3 linked regions of the Arabidopsis thaliana genome follow. The protein of the gene in region 3 purifies or fractionates together with the protein of the main gene of each other region. This does not show direct contact. Each region holds a gene or a part of one and is shown on either strand. Other genes may lie near its edges.

Region 1 (3,878 bases), 1.3 Mb from region 3:
TTTCGATAGCATATTATGAGTTCCATGTGGAAGTATTATGTCTATTAAGCGGCTAAAGTGAAGAAGTTTAACCTTCTTGTTGTCAAGATTTGCTGGTTATGGTTTCTATAGTTATATGTTTGTCATACCAAACTTTCGTTTTGTGTTTCTGCATCTAAGGAAGGACCAGTCTAATCCTTTTCTTTCTCATAGGGTTCATACTCACTAAAAATGAAGATGCTTGATGGACGCAAGAAGGAGTTAACTTGCATCAAGTTCTCATTTGATATTGGATTTGGATCCTCCGTGGCCGACATGTAGAGCTGATTTGCTCGACGGGATACACCATCTTGTTCTATACCATGGAACCACTCTCATTTATTTTGTATAAAATACACTCTCCTGCTATACATAATTGTTGATCAAAAACCCTTTGAAAATTCTCATTCTGGACCATTCATGAATCCCCCCATTTATAGAAAAAACAAAGTAATGAATTATTGATTAGGTTTTATAGAGCTGTGGTTAGTTCTAGTTGCAACCTTAAAGCTGAGCCTACTTTAACCAATAGTACATCATTACATCCACGTTCATGGAATTATAAAGACGTGACATACATCATCATTCAACCAAACGTAAACCATTAATGACTTATCAGAAAAGATGAATTTTTTCATAGCTTCAATATACCAACATGTTAAAAGGGACATTCCTCCCCTTTTGCTATGTATTTGGACAAAGTTGGGCTAAAGTTGGGTAAATTCAATGTTTTTTGTTACCCTAATTTAGCTTATCGGTTATCTTCTTTAGTACTACAATGACCCGTCAAAGGAGAAACTTTTGAAAAGCTAACCCACAAAGTAGCTTTTTTGTTCAGTTGAGTACTCATTTCGTTTTTCTCTTATCCAGTCTCATGTTTGTCAATCTTGATTAGGTTTTTGCCTCTCCTCTTTCACAACTTCTTATCAAAGGTTGAAGGTTGAAGCAATGATGGATATGAAGGAGAGAATGGTGAAGAAACTTAAGCTTATTACATCTCTTGGGAACTTGAAGCAGGCGATAGCTCTCCACAAAAGCAATCTTGATCACACAATCTTTCATCAAATAGATGAGAAAGAGTGTCTTACGCCAACGACAATTGAGGTTTCTGAGGATAAACGACTTCAACAGAATCTTGATGAGCTTTTGTGGGCTTTTGAAGAGAAATGTGTAGCTGGTGGGCAAGATTCTGTTGCTTCTTCACAACAAGTCTACGAGGAGTGAGAAAGACTTTCGAAGATTGCAGAAGAGTGAGATTCTTGCTAGAGAATCATAAGGCATCATTCCGAGAAAGAGATGTTTCAATGGATTGTGAGTACAAAGAAGAGATGTGGAGATTGCTTGGGGAGCAAGTTACACCTCCTAGGCTCTTCATAAAGTGTAAGTACATTGGTGGAGCAGACGAGGTGGTGTCTCTTAACGAAAACGAGAAGCTCAAGAAGCTTCTAGAAGTGTTTTCATCAGCTAAGTCGCGGCAGTGTGAGATGTGCGAGAACGAAAGATTTTTGATATGTTCGAAATGCAATGGGAGGTCGAGAGTTGTTGCAGAGCACGAAACCTGGAAGAGATGCATAGAGTGTAATGAGAATGGTCTTGTGAAATGTGCTCTTTGTACTTAATCCAAGATTCCAAGTGCTTAATAACAATTTATTTATATGACTATAACTAATTGTTTTATATGAAACAAAATGCTATGAATATACAAGGAAAATTTTCGAAAACAATACTCAAGGAGTTGAGTGAGTTTTCCAAAATGTTAAACCAAAATCAACCAAAGTGAAGAAAAAAATAATGTTCTATTGACTCTTCTAAAATCCTTCTACTACGGAACACGTATGGCGACATTCGCACGTGCGATACCCGTAGGTAAAGACACGTGTCATTCCTTCAATGGGCAGGACCGTACTTTCACTTGCGTACTTTTCCTTCTTCTTCCGACAACAAACCCAGAAACAGTCTTTCTCTCTTCCGACTCCGTTTACTAGATCAGCCTTCTCGCACCGAAATCTCAAGGTTCGTGTTCCTCTTTTCTGTCTTTTTGGATTGAAAGATTTTTCTCATGTTTATATATAAATCTTCAATCCAAATCAACAAAAGCATGTTCCATCCGATGAACTTATTTGGGGACTTTCCTCTGTCTAATCCACACTTTATAAAAATCGTACCTTTGTATTGTGTTCATAGAACCCAAACGCTGATTAGAGTAAATTTGTTGTTCTGGCAAAAAACCCAATTAGCTCTGAATGCGTCTACACATTTCTTGAATCGGTCATTCTATTGCTGCTACACACTCAAAATCGATATTTCAATGTCTTTGTGAATTGGAAAACATATTGAAAATCTTTGCTGCTTTATCAGTTTTTCATTCGATTCATCGCTGAGCACATTCACAACAAAAACAGATCACTGATTATTAGAATTGTATTGATTCTGAGTGTCTCTCCAAGCTAATGGATCTATATGATGTTGTGTCTAATGTGTAATGTGAATATGTTTCCAGTGATTTCAGACCACAATGGCCTCATTCGATGGGCAAGGGTTTATGATGGTTGATAATTCTTGGGTCCAGACCAAAGCCATTGATGTTGAATCAACAACCGATATCTCTCCTTACCTTTCCAAGATCCTTGAAGATTCCGTCTGGAATGGAAACCGGTCCATTGTCTTTGATGTGTATTGGGATGTCAAATCAGTTAGCACAAAGTCCGAATGGCGTCTATGCTCAGTGAAGTTTAGCACTAAAAACTTCTGTCTCTTCCTCCGCCTGCCGAACCCGTTCTGTGATAATCTCAAGGATCTTTATCGCTTCTTTGCTTCCAAATTTGTCACATTTGTCGGTGTCCAGATTCAAGAAGACCTCGCTTTGCTTAAAGAAAACCACGGTATTGTGATCCGAAGCTCGTTGGAGATTGGGAAACTAGCTGCGAAAGCCCGAGGTACTCCAATTGTTGAGTTCCTTGGAACCAGAGAATTAGCTCACAAGATTCTTTGGTATGACATGAGTAGGCTTGATTCTATTCAGTCCAAGTGGGATGAAGCCAGCTCTAATGATCGTCTTGAAGCTGCTGCCATTGAAGGTTGGCTTATTTTCAATGTCTACGATCAATTGCAGCAGTGATTTTTCGTGGCAATGTTCTTCATGTAACTCTTATGTTAACCTTCTTGATCAAATGGATTTGTGAGATTGCGCTTGATTGCGCTTGATTGATTCATGTTGTGTATTGTGATGAGTGAACAATACTGTCTGAATAAAACATGCCCGGCCTTGTCTTTTTGTCTGAAGATTTTGAGATTATGGTACAATGCCAAAATTTTAAGCTGTAAAAACATAATGAACCAAAAAGAGACAGCGAAATAGAACGAGCAAAAATGTAAATTCCTTGGATAGTTAGATACAAACTGGTTTAACTCTAAATCACATTCACAAGTTAGTTACAAAACTTACAAGAAACTCAACAAAACGTTAGCAACTCTGCCTAGGCTTTTATAGACTGGTAATCTCTGCGTTTGTGGTGTAATGAAACTCGATCTGTAAACGGTGATGAACAGGCGCGGTTGAGGCTAATCCTTTCTTGATATCCTCTTGCAACTCCCTAATTGGTATGGCCGCCAAGAAATTCTTAATATACTCTTTACATGACTCCTTCCCTCTGCTCAAAATCTCTGATTCAGGTTCTGATTCGGATCCTGCTTCCTCTGTGTGAAGAATCTTGTGGATGACGGTTTTATGGTCGAATTTCAAAACGTAAGCTTGATCACAACCCTCGTAAAGCCTTTCTCCAAGTGTGTCAATGATATAGTAAGCTTCTTTTTCAACTTTGAGGACAAAGAAGTGATCGTTCCAACTCACTATGTAAACG
Region 2 (4,017 bases), on a different chromosome or scaffold from region 3:
AAAAATATATCCCGTGCTTAGGCCGGATTCGCGGGTGACGATGCACCAAGAGCGGTTTTTCCGAGCATTGTAGGCCGTCCTCGCCACACGGGTGTGATGGTAGGGATGGGACAAAAGGATGCTTATGTTGGAGACGAGGCTCAATCAAAACGTGGTATCTTGACTCTGAAGTACCCAATTGAGCATGGAATTGTTAATAATTGGGATGACATGGAGAAGATTTGGCATCACACTTTCTACAATGAGCTTCGTGTTGCCCCTGAAGAACATCCGGTTCTCTTGACCGAAGCTCCTCTCAATCCGAAAGCTAACCGTGAGAAGATGACTCAGATCATGTTTGAGACATTCAATACTCCTGCTATGTATGTTGCCATTCAAGCTGTTCTCTCACTCTATGCCAGTGGCCGTACAACTGGTCAGTAACACACTTATATTTGTGTTGATCCAATCTATAACCAGTTTTTTTTCATGCTTGATTTTAAATAATATGAACTATTTTAAGGACTATTTGGTTATGCTTTTATGGACAACCCTAATTGGTTCTTTTGCAAATTATTGATTAGGTATTGTTTTGGACTCTGGAGATGGTGTGAGCCACACGGTACCAATCTACGAGGGTTACGCTCTCCCACACGCAATCCTACGTCTTGACCTAGCAGGTCGTGACCTCACGGACCACCTCATGAAAATCCTCACAGAGCGTGGATACTCCTTCACCACAACTGCTGAACGTGAAATTGTTAGAGACATGAAAGAGAAGCTCTCTTACATTGCTCTAGACTTCGAGCAAGAGCTAGAGACTTCCAAAACAAGCTCGTCCGTTGAGAAAAGCTTCGAGCTTCCTGATGGACAAGTGATAACCATTGGAGCAGAGAGGTTCCGGTGTCCGGAAGTTCTGTTCCAGCCGTCAATGATCGGAATGGAAAATCCAGGAATCCATGAAACCACATATAACTCTATCATGAAATGTGATGTGGATATTAGGAAAGACTTGTATGGTAACATTGTGCTAAGTGGTGGAACCACAATGTTTGGAGGGATTGGTGATAGAATGAGCAAAGAGATTACGGCTTTGGCTCCAAGTAGTATGAAGATTAAGGTCGTGGCTCCACCGGAGAGGAAGTACAGTGTATGGATCGGTGGCTCTATATTGGCTTCACTCAGCACTTTCCAGCAGGTGAACACATTAATATACATTTTTATTATTATTTGATCATGTATAATATAACATTCATAAGTTTGTTTTGATATAAATATTGGTATGTGTTTGAAAACTTGACAGATGTGGATTGCGAAAGCAGAGTACGATGAATCTGGACCCTCAATAGTGCATAGGAAATGCTTCTAATCACAGTTCCTAAGATCACCAAACGAAGACGGAAGTAAAAGTAAAAGACAGAAGGTTAAAAACATTGAGATTACTACCAAATGCCACATTTTTCCATTATATTTTCTAATCTCTCTTTTATCCTTTTTTTTTTGAATAGCCTCTCTATGTTAATTTTTCAACTAAGCATACTTTTCTTTAAACAATTTCCACTCCCAATGTACTATATATAAGCGACTAATTTCAATTATTATATTTTCTATTTTAAACTTAATTTATTTGTTACTCAAAAGAGATTTTGTGATGGTTAAACAATTGTGACTAATATACTTCAAAGACATCCGTATCAAACACAAAACAAGCTCCATAATGTTGATCTAGTACAAACAATTGTGACATATAAATGCATATTGTCGAAACTCACTAAATCTTAGATTACTCGGTTAAATGGATGTGGTCTAATAAGTGTCAATAAACACAACACAAAATGTTAAACTGATGGATTAGTGATGAGAAGATGAGTTTAAATGTTTCATTTAGTAATAAAACGTGTTTATTATGTTTGTTGGTAAAGAAAAGAAGAAACGAATTGTTGATGGTTAACTAAATTTTAATTTCTTATTCGATCTCGGTTTAACCGAACCGAATCGTAAACCCAGAAACAGAAGCTGCGACGGAGAATCCATTTCTCGAGATCGTCGCCGTTAAAATCTGCGATCTCATTGCTCATTGGTGAAGACAAATCCCTAATTCGTATGTCAGATTCTGTGGCCGGCGATTTCCCTCCCGATCCACTTCTCGCCTCCGGAGCCTTCATCTCCTCCGCCGGTGACGGAACCCTAGACAGTAGTGCGAAACGACGACCGATTCAGGGAGGAATCGGAATTTCTGGTTCGGGAGAGAGCGTACGCATCGGGATGGCTAACGGCACTGATCAGGTGAATCATCAGACGGAATCGAAGTCGCGGAAGCGTGCGGCGCCTGGAGATAATTGGTTGCCTCCTGGTTGGAGAGTTGAAGATAAGATTCGAACTTCCGGTGCCACAGCTGGTTCGGTGGATAAGGTAAAGAATCTCAGCTTGACTCTGCTTTTCTCTATGAAGTTTTGAGCTGCGTTGTTGCTTGAAGACTACAAATTGAGGATTCTTTGATTGCTGTTGTTTTGTTCTCTTTGGTTTAAAAATCTTGCCTTTAAAGTAGTGACAAGTGTAATGATGTAGTAAAATGATGTGGTTGGTTCTGCTTAAGCATTAATGAGTTTGTTTAGATTATGTTAATGGTGTATTGGGACTTGAATCATACACTTTATCAGTGTGATTAGTGTTACTTTGATTTATCAGGTGGATTTAGATGGTTTGGTTTGGTATATATTGTGATTGAAGAGATGAAGTTTTGGTGTTGTTATACTCGATGCTAATATGGGTGTAGATATTGATGTGTAGACTTGTGACATTTTCTTATCTGGTTTTGCAGTACTATTACGAACCAAATACAGGACGTAAGTTTCGGTCCAGGACTGAGGTGCTGTACTACTTGGAACATGGAACTTCTAAAAGAGGCACCAAGAAAGCTGAGAATACATATTTCAATCCAGACGTGAGTTTACATGCTTAAAGATTAAACCTTTCACCCTGGTTTCAAACCTGTGATGTGTATTGAATTTTGCATTTGCAGCATTTTGAAGGCCAAGGAAGCAATAGAGTCACCAGAACCGCTACAGTGCCTCCACCTCCGCCACCGCCATTGGACTTTGATTTTAAGAATCCACCAGACAAGGTAAGCTGGTCTATGGCAAACGCAGGAGAAGAAGGTTGGATACCTAATATTGGGGACGTCAAGGTTCAAGACTCAGTGAGACGAGATTGGAGCACTGCGTTTACCTTTATCACAAGCCGAAACCCTAGTAAAGTGTCGGCTTGAAGACTATGATGACCTGGTGGCGATTTTTGGGTTGTTGCATCTATGGTAAGATACACAGATATGTTAGGGTTACTTAATTGGATAATTCTTGTTTAGTCTTCATTCATCAATCATCAAGTTATGTGTACTATAATTTTTGTAGCGGTTTTTGGAAGAATATGATAAGGGGATATGCATCTTTGTGTTTGCTTTTGGAACGTGATAACCATTCGACTTTTGACTGATGAAATTGAAGACACTGTCGTAGTAACAAAGCTATTCTTCTTAGACATTTTGATACTGAACTATTCTGTGTTCCAAAGTCTTTTACTTTGTGTTTAGGAAAAGATCTTGTTCTTTGTGAAACCAGTGTCGTAATTCAAGAACTAATGCTTGACATGTCTCACCTGCTCAGGTTATCTAAATCTAATGGATAAGAAGAAACATCAACAATACTGCACTGATACAAGACAAGAAGCGTCTGTAGTCCAACGGTTAGGATAATTGCCTTCCAAGCAATAGACCCGGGTTCGACTCCCGGCAGACGCAATTATATTTTTCCCAAACATAATTTTAGATTTTGTTAACCAAACAATTTGTGGGGTTCGAATGTAACTGGTTGTAGCACATTTAATATCTGCAATAAATTATCAAAAAGGCCATTGGAACTCTCCCAACCCATCGTCTAATTTAGTAATTTTTGGTCTTGTAACCTTCTAGGTGTACCAGAGGCTTCCTTATTAGTCTTGTATCCCAAGCTTTTGAAAAAAAGTGAAACGAAAAGGTTTTAA
Region 3 (7,855 bases):
GAAAAGCAATCCTTTATCAAACTCGTGAGTTCGATCAACGAGTAGAGTTTCAAGATCGAGAGGATTTTCATCTTCTCCATCTGAATTTACTTCAGGGGCAAGATTGTAACATAAATGAAACTTGAACATCAAGTTTTGGGTTCTGCCAAAATCGCCTTCATCGTTATAGATCGGATAATAGTAAACGAAGCTGTCGGGGTCTGGATTGACAGCATCAAAAACCATGATTTGTTCGGAAAAATGGGCGTTTTGATATTTGGTATTTAGGGTTTTGAGGCTTGATAAGACTTGAAAATGAAAATGAAAATATAGAATCCTCTTTTATGCGGTTTCCTTATCTTAGTAGGGTTTTCTTTCAAAAAAAAAAAAGTGACGAGAGGATATAGAGAAAGAAACGATCATAGTTTTTTAGTCTAATAATATTATTCCGAATCCTGAGAGCTATCAGAGTCAAGCTGTTCATCAACACAAAGCAACATCTCATCGCTAACATTATTTACTACTCCTAGTCCTAGACCACTAACTTCTTCTAAAGCTGCAGAGGAAGAAGAAGCCCTTGTCGTTTCTTTTCCTTCTTCTGATAACTTTGATACATCTTTCTGCAAACATTCTTCTTCTTCTTCTTCTCCTATAGAGACTACTGTTGTTTTATTTGGCCTATCATTGGCATTGCTGTCTCGGCTTGGGTTCTCTGTTTCTGAAGTTGGTTCTGTTTGATCGGCTCCGAGTGGTACGGGGAAGCCTGGGGATGGCTCATCATCTGAACCTGCTGGAACCATCTGATCACAGCTCTCAACTTGGGTACTCATGGGAGACCCGGCTTTGTCTAGACCTGGCTCTAGATCTGCTTCTTTGTTTGATGGGTTATTGCGTTCTTTAGAAAGACATACACCTGTACAGGAGCAAAAATCAAATGAAGTTCGTTCGAGAGAGAGGGAGAGAGGAGTTGGCTTTACCTTTCATAGTGCTGGGTTTTGTGCTCTCGTATAGTGTTTTCTTGAGCAGAGTTGTCCCAGGGAATACCATCAAGTTTATTCTTTTGAGAGCATCACGCTCTTCATCATCCATGGGTTTGAAGCCAAAACCTTCAGTCCAAGTTTCCACTAAACTCGGCAATGCAGCTACCACAAGCTTCTCCACTTTGAGAGACATAAGCATCTGCAGCCAAAACCAATGAATAGTTTTATCTATTGATAGCCCAGGGATCAAGACAAGACTGGAAGAGAGATCATATGAGCTAAGGGATTATCAAGGTCAGCATATGAGCGGTGCTGTATGTCTATCATTGTACTAAGTTTAGACATTATTAATGTGGATGTAGCTTCAAGAACAACCACATGGTTACATTCTAAATATCGTACCTCTTCAATGGCAGCCACGAGGATTCTACACATGCCCTGTCGGCGATATTTGCTGCACGTAGCTACAAGAGGCATCTCTGCAATAGTTACTCCGTGCACCCTGGATATAGTAAAATGGGGTTTATATGTAACTCGTTCCAGTGGATGGAAGTGAAAGAATAGTTCTAAGCATCCATTTGGTGATAGTGTCAAATTTTGTTTCATTGCCTGGAGGTTCTAGAAGACATACCAAACACTTTGATAGCCATGAGATTACTGTTTTTTCAGCATGAATTCGAGTTTCTTCATACTAACCTGATAGATGCTACTGAGATCATCACATCATCCTTTTCCACAACCACTGTGTAAAACCCATCAAAGTCTAACCGAGCAAATGTTGACCTTTAAGTGCAACAAAGATTCAAAAAAGGTAAGACAAAGCGATGAAAATGAAGAGCAGAACTGAAGGTACAGAAGTAACAAACAGAAATCTAAGTGTGCAAGCTAATGACAAAAGGACGTTACCCCCAGTTGTATAGCACATGAGGTATCATGTCAATACCAGTTCTTGGATCTACCATAGACAGAAAGCTTTCCTCCATAATTGATAGGGCAACAGCTAATTTCGAGTTGCATTCAGCCTTCAGCGCCAACCTTCGGGCAGAATGAACCATTCCATCTTCTTGAAAACATTTAAGAATTGACCAAGACAGACCATCAGCATTAGGGTTAATGATCCCAACACGAGAACTAAGACCATTGTACACCTGCATTACACGAGCTACTTAATGAGAACCTTGAAAGTTGTGAAGCAGCTGTAACATGCTAACATCTTCTTTGTTTATATGTCAAAGAGCCCAAGAGCAGCGAAAAATATACTATTATTCTCAATGTAAATTTAAAAACTACCCATTAGTTGTTTAAGTCACAGTGACTAGGTATGATTAATACCTTCTCGCAATTTTTACCACAAAAGTAGGTCTCTGGAAAAAGCTTTCTGCGTTTACTTATCCCTTGCAAACATGTTCCATGATCTGATAACATAAAGGTAACAATCATCAGCCAAAGTGGATTTCATACCAAAATAACTAATGTGGGATCCAACTGTCGCGAGAGGCATAACTCCAAAAGTGAGTTTTACAAAGTGTCAATTACTAAAGAAAGAAAATTGGAGAAGTGCTGAGCCTGGCAGAAAACCACCATCTACAACTGTTACTGATGAACAGTGACATCAATCGTGATAAAATCTCAGTGAGACATGATAGAAGAGAATTCAAATCAGGGGTTTCCTTTCATGTGATAAAGAAATAAATCATAGTTTCTAAGAGATTGCGAGCTGTAAGATGATTACATTTATGCGCACACTGGGAACATTTAAAGTCCTGAGAGCGTTCAGCATTATCACTAACCAACTCGCTGCATATCCAACATGTGCAGCTCGAGCAATACCAACTTCCTTCAGGGAGCACCTGGGTAGAAAAAGCAAAAGCAATACAGCAACTCTCTTTAGAGGGTACCAATTTAAGGTAAAATATCCTAGTTATACTAATGCCGTGTAAGTTACTAGAGTTGAATTAGTAAGAATCACAGAATCAGCCAAGAAGTTTCACCCATGTGTATGTTTTGCAAAGAGTTAATTACCGGGATAAATAATAGTTAAAATGTAAATATACCCTGGAATGAGTCAGACAATACCTGCATTGATAAGCACGCCTGATGGAAGGTAGATGGACAATTATCACAGCAGATCAGCTCACCCCCATCACCACAAACTCCACAAGAATCATCATTTGGATCATCATCAGAGGCTTTCTCTAATCTCCATCCATTTCTTCGCGCCTTATACTCAGCAGACCAAGCTTCCAGCTGACATGAAGCGAAAGGCTTTCCTGACCCCATGAAAAGATTCAGACATGGACAGTTCTGGTTAAATCCAGCATGGTTCTTGAATTCAGAAAGTGACACAGTCTTGTTGCAACATGTACAAACCACTCCATCTTTAGTTACCAGGCCTGTTTTTACCACAGTATCATCATCTGGATCTCGTAACTGGATTACTTCGTCTCTAGAAATTACTTTGGTAGCTATCAACCATGATAAGACAGTTCTAGGACCCAAAATAGACCAATTTCCTTGAAAAAAATGATTTTCCACATTGCTTGAGCTTCGGGGAAGCAACCTGCACCCTCCCCTATTGTTTCTTTTCTTTGTTCTAGCCTTTGGCTTCTGTGTTTTCTTTTTCTGGCTTGATCTGCTGAACTTACCTTTGTTTCTGGTTATTGTCGACCCCATAAGGTCATCATCTTGAGTATAGTGCTTCCTAGCTTTCTTTCTTCCTTTCTTTGAATTGCAACATGAATTATTCATCTTCTCATTCCTCAACCTTTCATCCCGACTTCCCTTTGAGACGAGGTGAATGTTGCCCATCTCTTTATCCTGGAATTCAAAGCTATTGAGAGAATTAGAATCTAGTGAATCATGTTGGTCCAAGGAAGCTGGTTTGATATCGGATATTTTCTTTGATCTTCTGTGTAAGTTCTTTCTCATAACACTTTCATGCATGTCTTCTGCTATCAATTTTGAAGCTACAATGCCCTTGCTAGCCTCCTGCTCATGAGTCCCAGAGATTTCCTTACCAATTATGCTCTGCCTCTCTAGTCTTGAAGAAACTTTTTGAGAGGAAATTTTAGTTTGCACCTCAAGATCTGAATGTATCTCTTGGTTAGCATCCACGTCATGAACAAGATGACTGCCTTCAGATACTGTCAGCACACTTTCAGGACAGCCTGAAATCAGGTTCAAACAAATTGTATCTTCTTTCTTCAACTTGTCTGGATTTGAATTCCTTGCAACTTCAACTTTATTTCCTTTTCTTAAAGAACCAACTTGCTTAGAAATGAAGACAACAACCACAAAAGGCTCTAAGGCACTCCACCAAAGTGCCCGTGTGTTAGCAAGATTTAAATTTTTCATGTTCTCCTCGATGTCCAACAGTGTAAGAGAGAGATCGGACCAGAAGTCATTAATACCAGTCCATTTCTTAGTACCAGTATCCATTAACTTACGATCAGCTAATAGGATCCCACCCAATGCTTTCCAAGCTGACCCAAATTCACGAAATTTCCGTCCCTCTGGCGATATGTAAAATGTGTCTACATGTTTCCTACCTGCTGATCTTTCGCGCTTCTCAATTTTCCATCTGGCAGCAGTTAGAACCTTACAGACATACTTGTAGAGAAGAGGACGGGGGTCCTCTTTAGGATCAATCTTTAGGCAGGTTTTAGACATAATTAACTCATTAGGAGATACTTTAGATCCGTTGTTCAACTGTAGCGGGAAGCAAGCCTTCTCACTATGCGGCGTAGAAGCACCTACAGAGATCATTCTGGTTGCGAAGCTCTCCTGAGAAACAGGAGAGGCAATAGCTTTAAATTCCTTTCCATCGCATTTGTCCAAGTTTAGTGACTTACACTTTCCAGACACAATGCCACCCAGATAAACTTCTCTTCCCTTTACTATGCTGTGCTTCAACAAATATGAGCTAGTTGAAACACCCTTGTTAGATGATTCAACTAAATGGAGAGGTATCGTCTCTCTAGCTATGTCCGAAGTTGGAAAACCATGCAAAGCAGATCCCTTTTCGTCCCTTGCATCCAAATGCTTATTACCTGAAAGCTTCACTCTCTTAGCTTTAGTGTTAAAATCTGAACCATCTCTTGAAGCAGATGCCTCAAAACCTTGTGGACATGCATATCCACTAGTTACCACAGAGTTGGAACTCAGAGAGGAATTGACATTCTTACTGGAATCACATTCGAAGTTAATGGCTCCAGTAACGAGACATCTTTTAGTAGTATTTCCAGGATCACTTCCAAAGAAAACTTCTCTGAATATCTGATGATCCTCATATGACCCTTCAAAGCAGTCACCTCCTAACATCTCAATCTCAGCTCCGGGAAGCATCTCCACAAACTAACTGCATATTCCACTTCACCTTAACTTAAAAGGAAGGTTGTAGATAGATACCTGCAATTATATAAAGTAATGAATAAACTCACAGAACCCAAAAGTTTGGAACTCGACATCCTAATCCAAAACACATACCCATAAGCGGAAGCGGATTCAAAACAAGATAAAATCAGAGATCCTTCTAGAAAGGCCAAAACTTTGAAGCCTAGAGCAAAACGATAGACCAGATTTCATGAAATTGAGATGTTATAATGACTAATTACATCCAAAAAGAAAGCTCAAAAATTGGGAAATGCAGGACATTACCAGCATGCAGAATGAAATCAGAGCTGTGAAATCGGAGAAATGGCTTCTTCTCACTGAAATAGACTCATTTCGTCGCCCTTATCCTCTCCAACCGCAAGTGGGAAACGCATTTTCATTCCATTTCACGTTCTCTGCACTCACACACTCTCTCTCCTTGATCTCTATCTCACACACAGAAAGAACAACAATTTGTCTATCTTTTTAGCTTTTTCTATAATTGTGGAAGAAACCCACCTCTGATTCGGTGTTAAATCTCTCAACCAAAATTCATCAGATAGATAAATTCTGACGAACTTTTTTTCACCTCTCTGAATCTGCCTCTATCACTTTGTTGTGCACAGTGTGTGTATACTTATTATTGGCTATTTCTTTCTCTTCTCGTTTTTTTTCTTTTTTTCTTTTCTATAAATTGTGTGCTGTCACCAAAAAGGCATCTTCGTGTTTTTATTTTATTTTTCCTTCGTTATACTGAAAAAGTCATTCTTCATTTTTCACCTTAAGATTCTGTCTCCTCTCTGATAACAACGGACCAGCAGTTATAGTATATGGAGTACTTAAATTCGTTTAATTACACAAATTAAAACCCAAATATTCGTCGTTTTTTTCTTCTGTTATCAAATTCTTAATCCTGTTAATGACGATCGTATCACTATAAGCCAATATTAATGACTATGGTTTTAAGTTCTTGACAAAGTTTTTTTTTACTAAATTCGCCACAGACAAAAACTGTTCTGACAAAAATAACAGACAAACTAAAATGAAAAAAAAGGTTAGCATATTTAATTGCCAGGTTTCTAACTGTTCTTCTGTTGTCGTTTTAAATCATTTCAGCTTATGTTTTTGTCCTTTAAAATTCAGTCATCACCGATTGTAACAGGTTTTGTCTTAATATGTATAATCAATATCTGTTAAGTGGATTGGATGCTTTGTAATTTGCGCGGGGAATCTTTACGTGTCTTAACGATAACAAATACTGTACTATCAAATAGGTGCATGCGATGATGGACATAAGTCGTATTTTAACCTATTTTGTTGTGTGAACAGATTAGTTATTGCATGTTTTGTATTAACTATATATAGGAATACGGCTCTGAATCTTTGTTTCTTCTTATTCGATTTTGATATATGAAAATTCCAAAAAGTACATGTACCAGTACGATGAAAACGACTGTGTTATGTGAAAGTATTTGTTTTTAAAAAAAAAAATATTTAGAGGGGATCAATTCTAGATACTTTTTTCATTTTTAAGGTTTAACTATGGTTAAAAAGAAACGATTCTTTTTTAAAAGGGTAGATGGTAGACCTCATTTGCTAATTTTGATCCACATAAGTCAATAACAAATAATTCGGCTCGCTTGCGAAGCTAATGCATGAGCCACGTGTTTTGCTTTATATTTGGCTTTCTGTATTGAGACATTCTTCTTCATCCTAATTGTGAATGGAATATGTTGGACCCAACGAAGCCATCAAACATGGTTAAAACACACAAACATGTGATTTAATCTAGTTTAATTTCGTCTATTACAATATAAGTGAATTTTGACACACATCCTTGGATTATATCTAAAACGTTAAGTTTGTTAAAAACACTTTGGACCGGATAATGGGTATTGATCATTTATTGTTTGTTGCATGTTGGGTTAGAAATTAGAGATCATAACAAAAATCATGATTTCAGGCTGTCCATTTTGAAAAATGTGTGTGTTTGTGTTAATTTGAATACACCGATTCATCCAAAAACCATCTGAACAGTCTCTTAATTAGTTTACCGTGTATATATATCATATTTATGGGATCATATTTGGTTAAGTTTAACTAGTAGTTTCAAATTTCGCGTTAATAGCTATTTGAAAGGGTAGGAGTACTTTTTCGACCGGTTAACACTCCCATATAAAGCCCATAAATTATTGGAACGCTACAAAATTAACAAAACATCTCTTCAGAAGTTCGTCCGGTTTACTCTACTACAAAGTACATGTATCAAAAACGACAACACGTGCTTCCACAAAATTAAGAACCAGGACGTGATGTCGTTGTTGTAATACTTTTTTCTCGCCAACTTCACGCCGTCTTAGTTTACCGAAACCAAAGTGGCTTTTTCTGATTTTATCCAATACAATGACGTGGAAAGACTCAAAAGAAGCTTTCGCCACGTTCCACCAATGAATGTTCGACACGTATCGTCGAGTTTCTTTTTCTTTATGCTTACGTCATCGCACACGTCTATCTTCTTTTGGTTA

What was found.
Region 1: the proteins of ROS4 (region 3) and AT3G11770 purify together in Arabidopsis thaliana (affinity purification with mass spectrometry, with the first as the bait; one study listed by BioGRID). This does not show direct contact.
Region 2: the proteins of ROS4 (region 3) and MBD6 purify together in Arabidopsis thaliana (affinity purification with mass spectrometry, with the first as the bait; one study listed by BioGRID). This does not show direct contact.

Annotation. Positions count from the first base shown.
Region 1 is NC_003074.8:3,720,748-3,724,625, reverse strand, and holds AT3G11770 (Polynucleotidyl transferase, ribonuclease H-like superfamily protein), read left to right. Parts: upstream 1-1,884; 5' UTR 1,885-2,031; intron 2,032-2,518; 5' UTR 2,519-2,533; coding exon 2,534-3,136; 3' UTR 3,137-3,330; downstream 3,331-3,878. Other genes in the region: AT3G11780 (MD-2-related lipid recognition domain-containing protein / ML domain-containing protein), read left to right, coding at 1-32, 193-300; AT3G11773 (Thioredoxin superfamily protein), read left to right, coding at 967-1,227, 1,296-1,637; AT3G11760 (structural maintenance of chromosomes flexible hinge domain protein), read right to left, coding at 3,503-3,878. UniProt on the Arabidopsis thaliana protein: 3'-to-5' exoribonuclease (RNase) specifically targeting single-stranded RNAs. Triggers miRNA accumulation in RNA-induced silencing complex (RISC), composed of miRNAs and AGO proteins, by degrading uridylated cleavage fragments.
Region 2 is NC_003076.8:23,950,239-23,954,255, forward strand, and holds MBD6 (methyl-CPG-binding domain 6), read left to right. Parts: upstream 1-1,893; 5' UTR 1,894-2,082; coding exon 2,083-2,391; intron 2,392-2,800; coding exon 2,801-2,923; intron 2,924-3,001; coding exon 3,002-3,247; 3' UTR 3,248-3,469; downstream 3,470-4,017. Other genes in the region: ACT4 (actin 4), read left to right, coding at 22-415, 564-1,177, 1,283-1,348. UniProt on the Arabidopsis thaliana protein: Transcriptional regulator that binds CpG, CpNpN and CpNpG (N is A, T, or C) islands in promoters regardless the DNA methylation status. Plays probably a role in gene silencing. May associate with histone deacetylase proteins (HDAC).
Region 3 is NC_003074.8:5,039,509-5,047,363, forward strand, and holds ROS4 (Acyl-CoA N-acyltransferase with RING/FYVE/PHD-type zinc finger protein), read right to left. Parts: upstream 6,018-7,855; 5' UTR 5,821-6,017; coding exon of another isoform or gene 5,602-5,820; intron 5,515-5,601; exon of another isoform or gene 5,445-5,514; intron 5,367-5,444; 5' UTR 5,304-5,366; coding exon 3,036-5,303; intron 2,810-3,035; coding exon 2,692-2,809; intron 2,375-2,691; coding exon 2,292-2,374; intron 2,108-2,291; coding exon 1,866-2,107; intron 1,743-1,865; coding exon 1,656-1,742; coding exon of another isoform or gene 1,646-1,655; exon of another isoform or gene 1,462-1,645; coding exon 1,362-1,461; intron 1,159-1,361; coding exon 957-1,158; coding exon of another isoform or gene 910-956; exon of another isoform or gene 893-909; coding exon 423-892; 3' UTR 304-422; downstream 1-303. Other genes in the region: AT3G14970 (RING/U-box superfamily protein), read right to left, coding at 1-225; AT3G14981 (uncharacterized protein), read left to right, coding at 5,602-5,820. UniProt on the Arabidopsis thaliana protein: Histone H3 acetyltransferase that binds methylated DNA at chromatin sites lacking histone H3K4 di- or trimethylation and catalyzes H3K18 and H3K23 acetylation. Prevents the transcriptional silencing of transgenes and of some endogenous genes.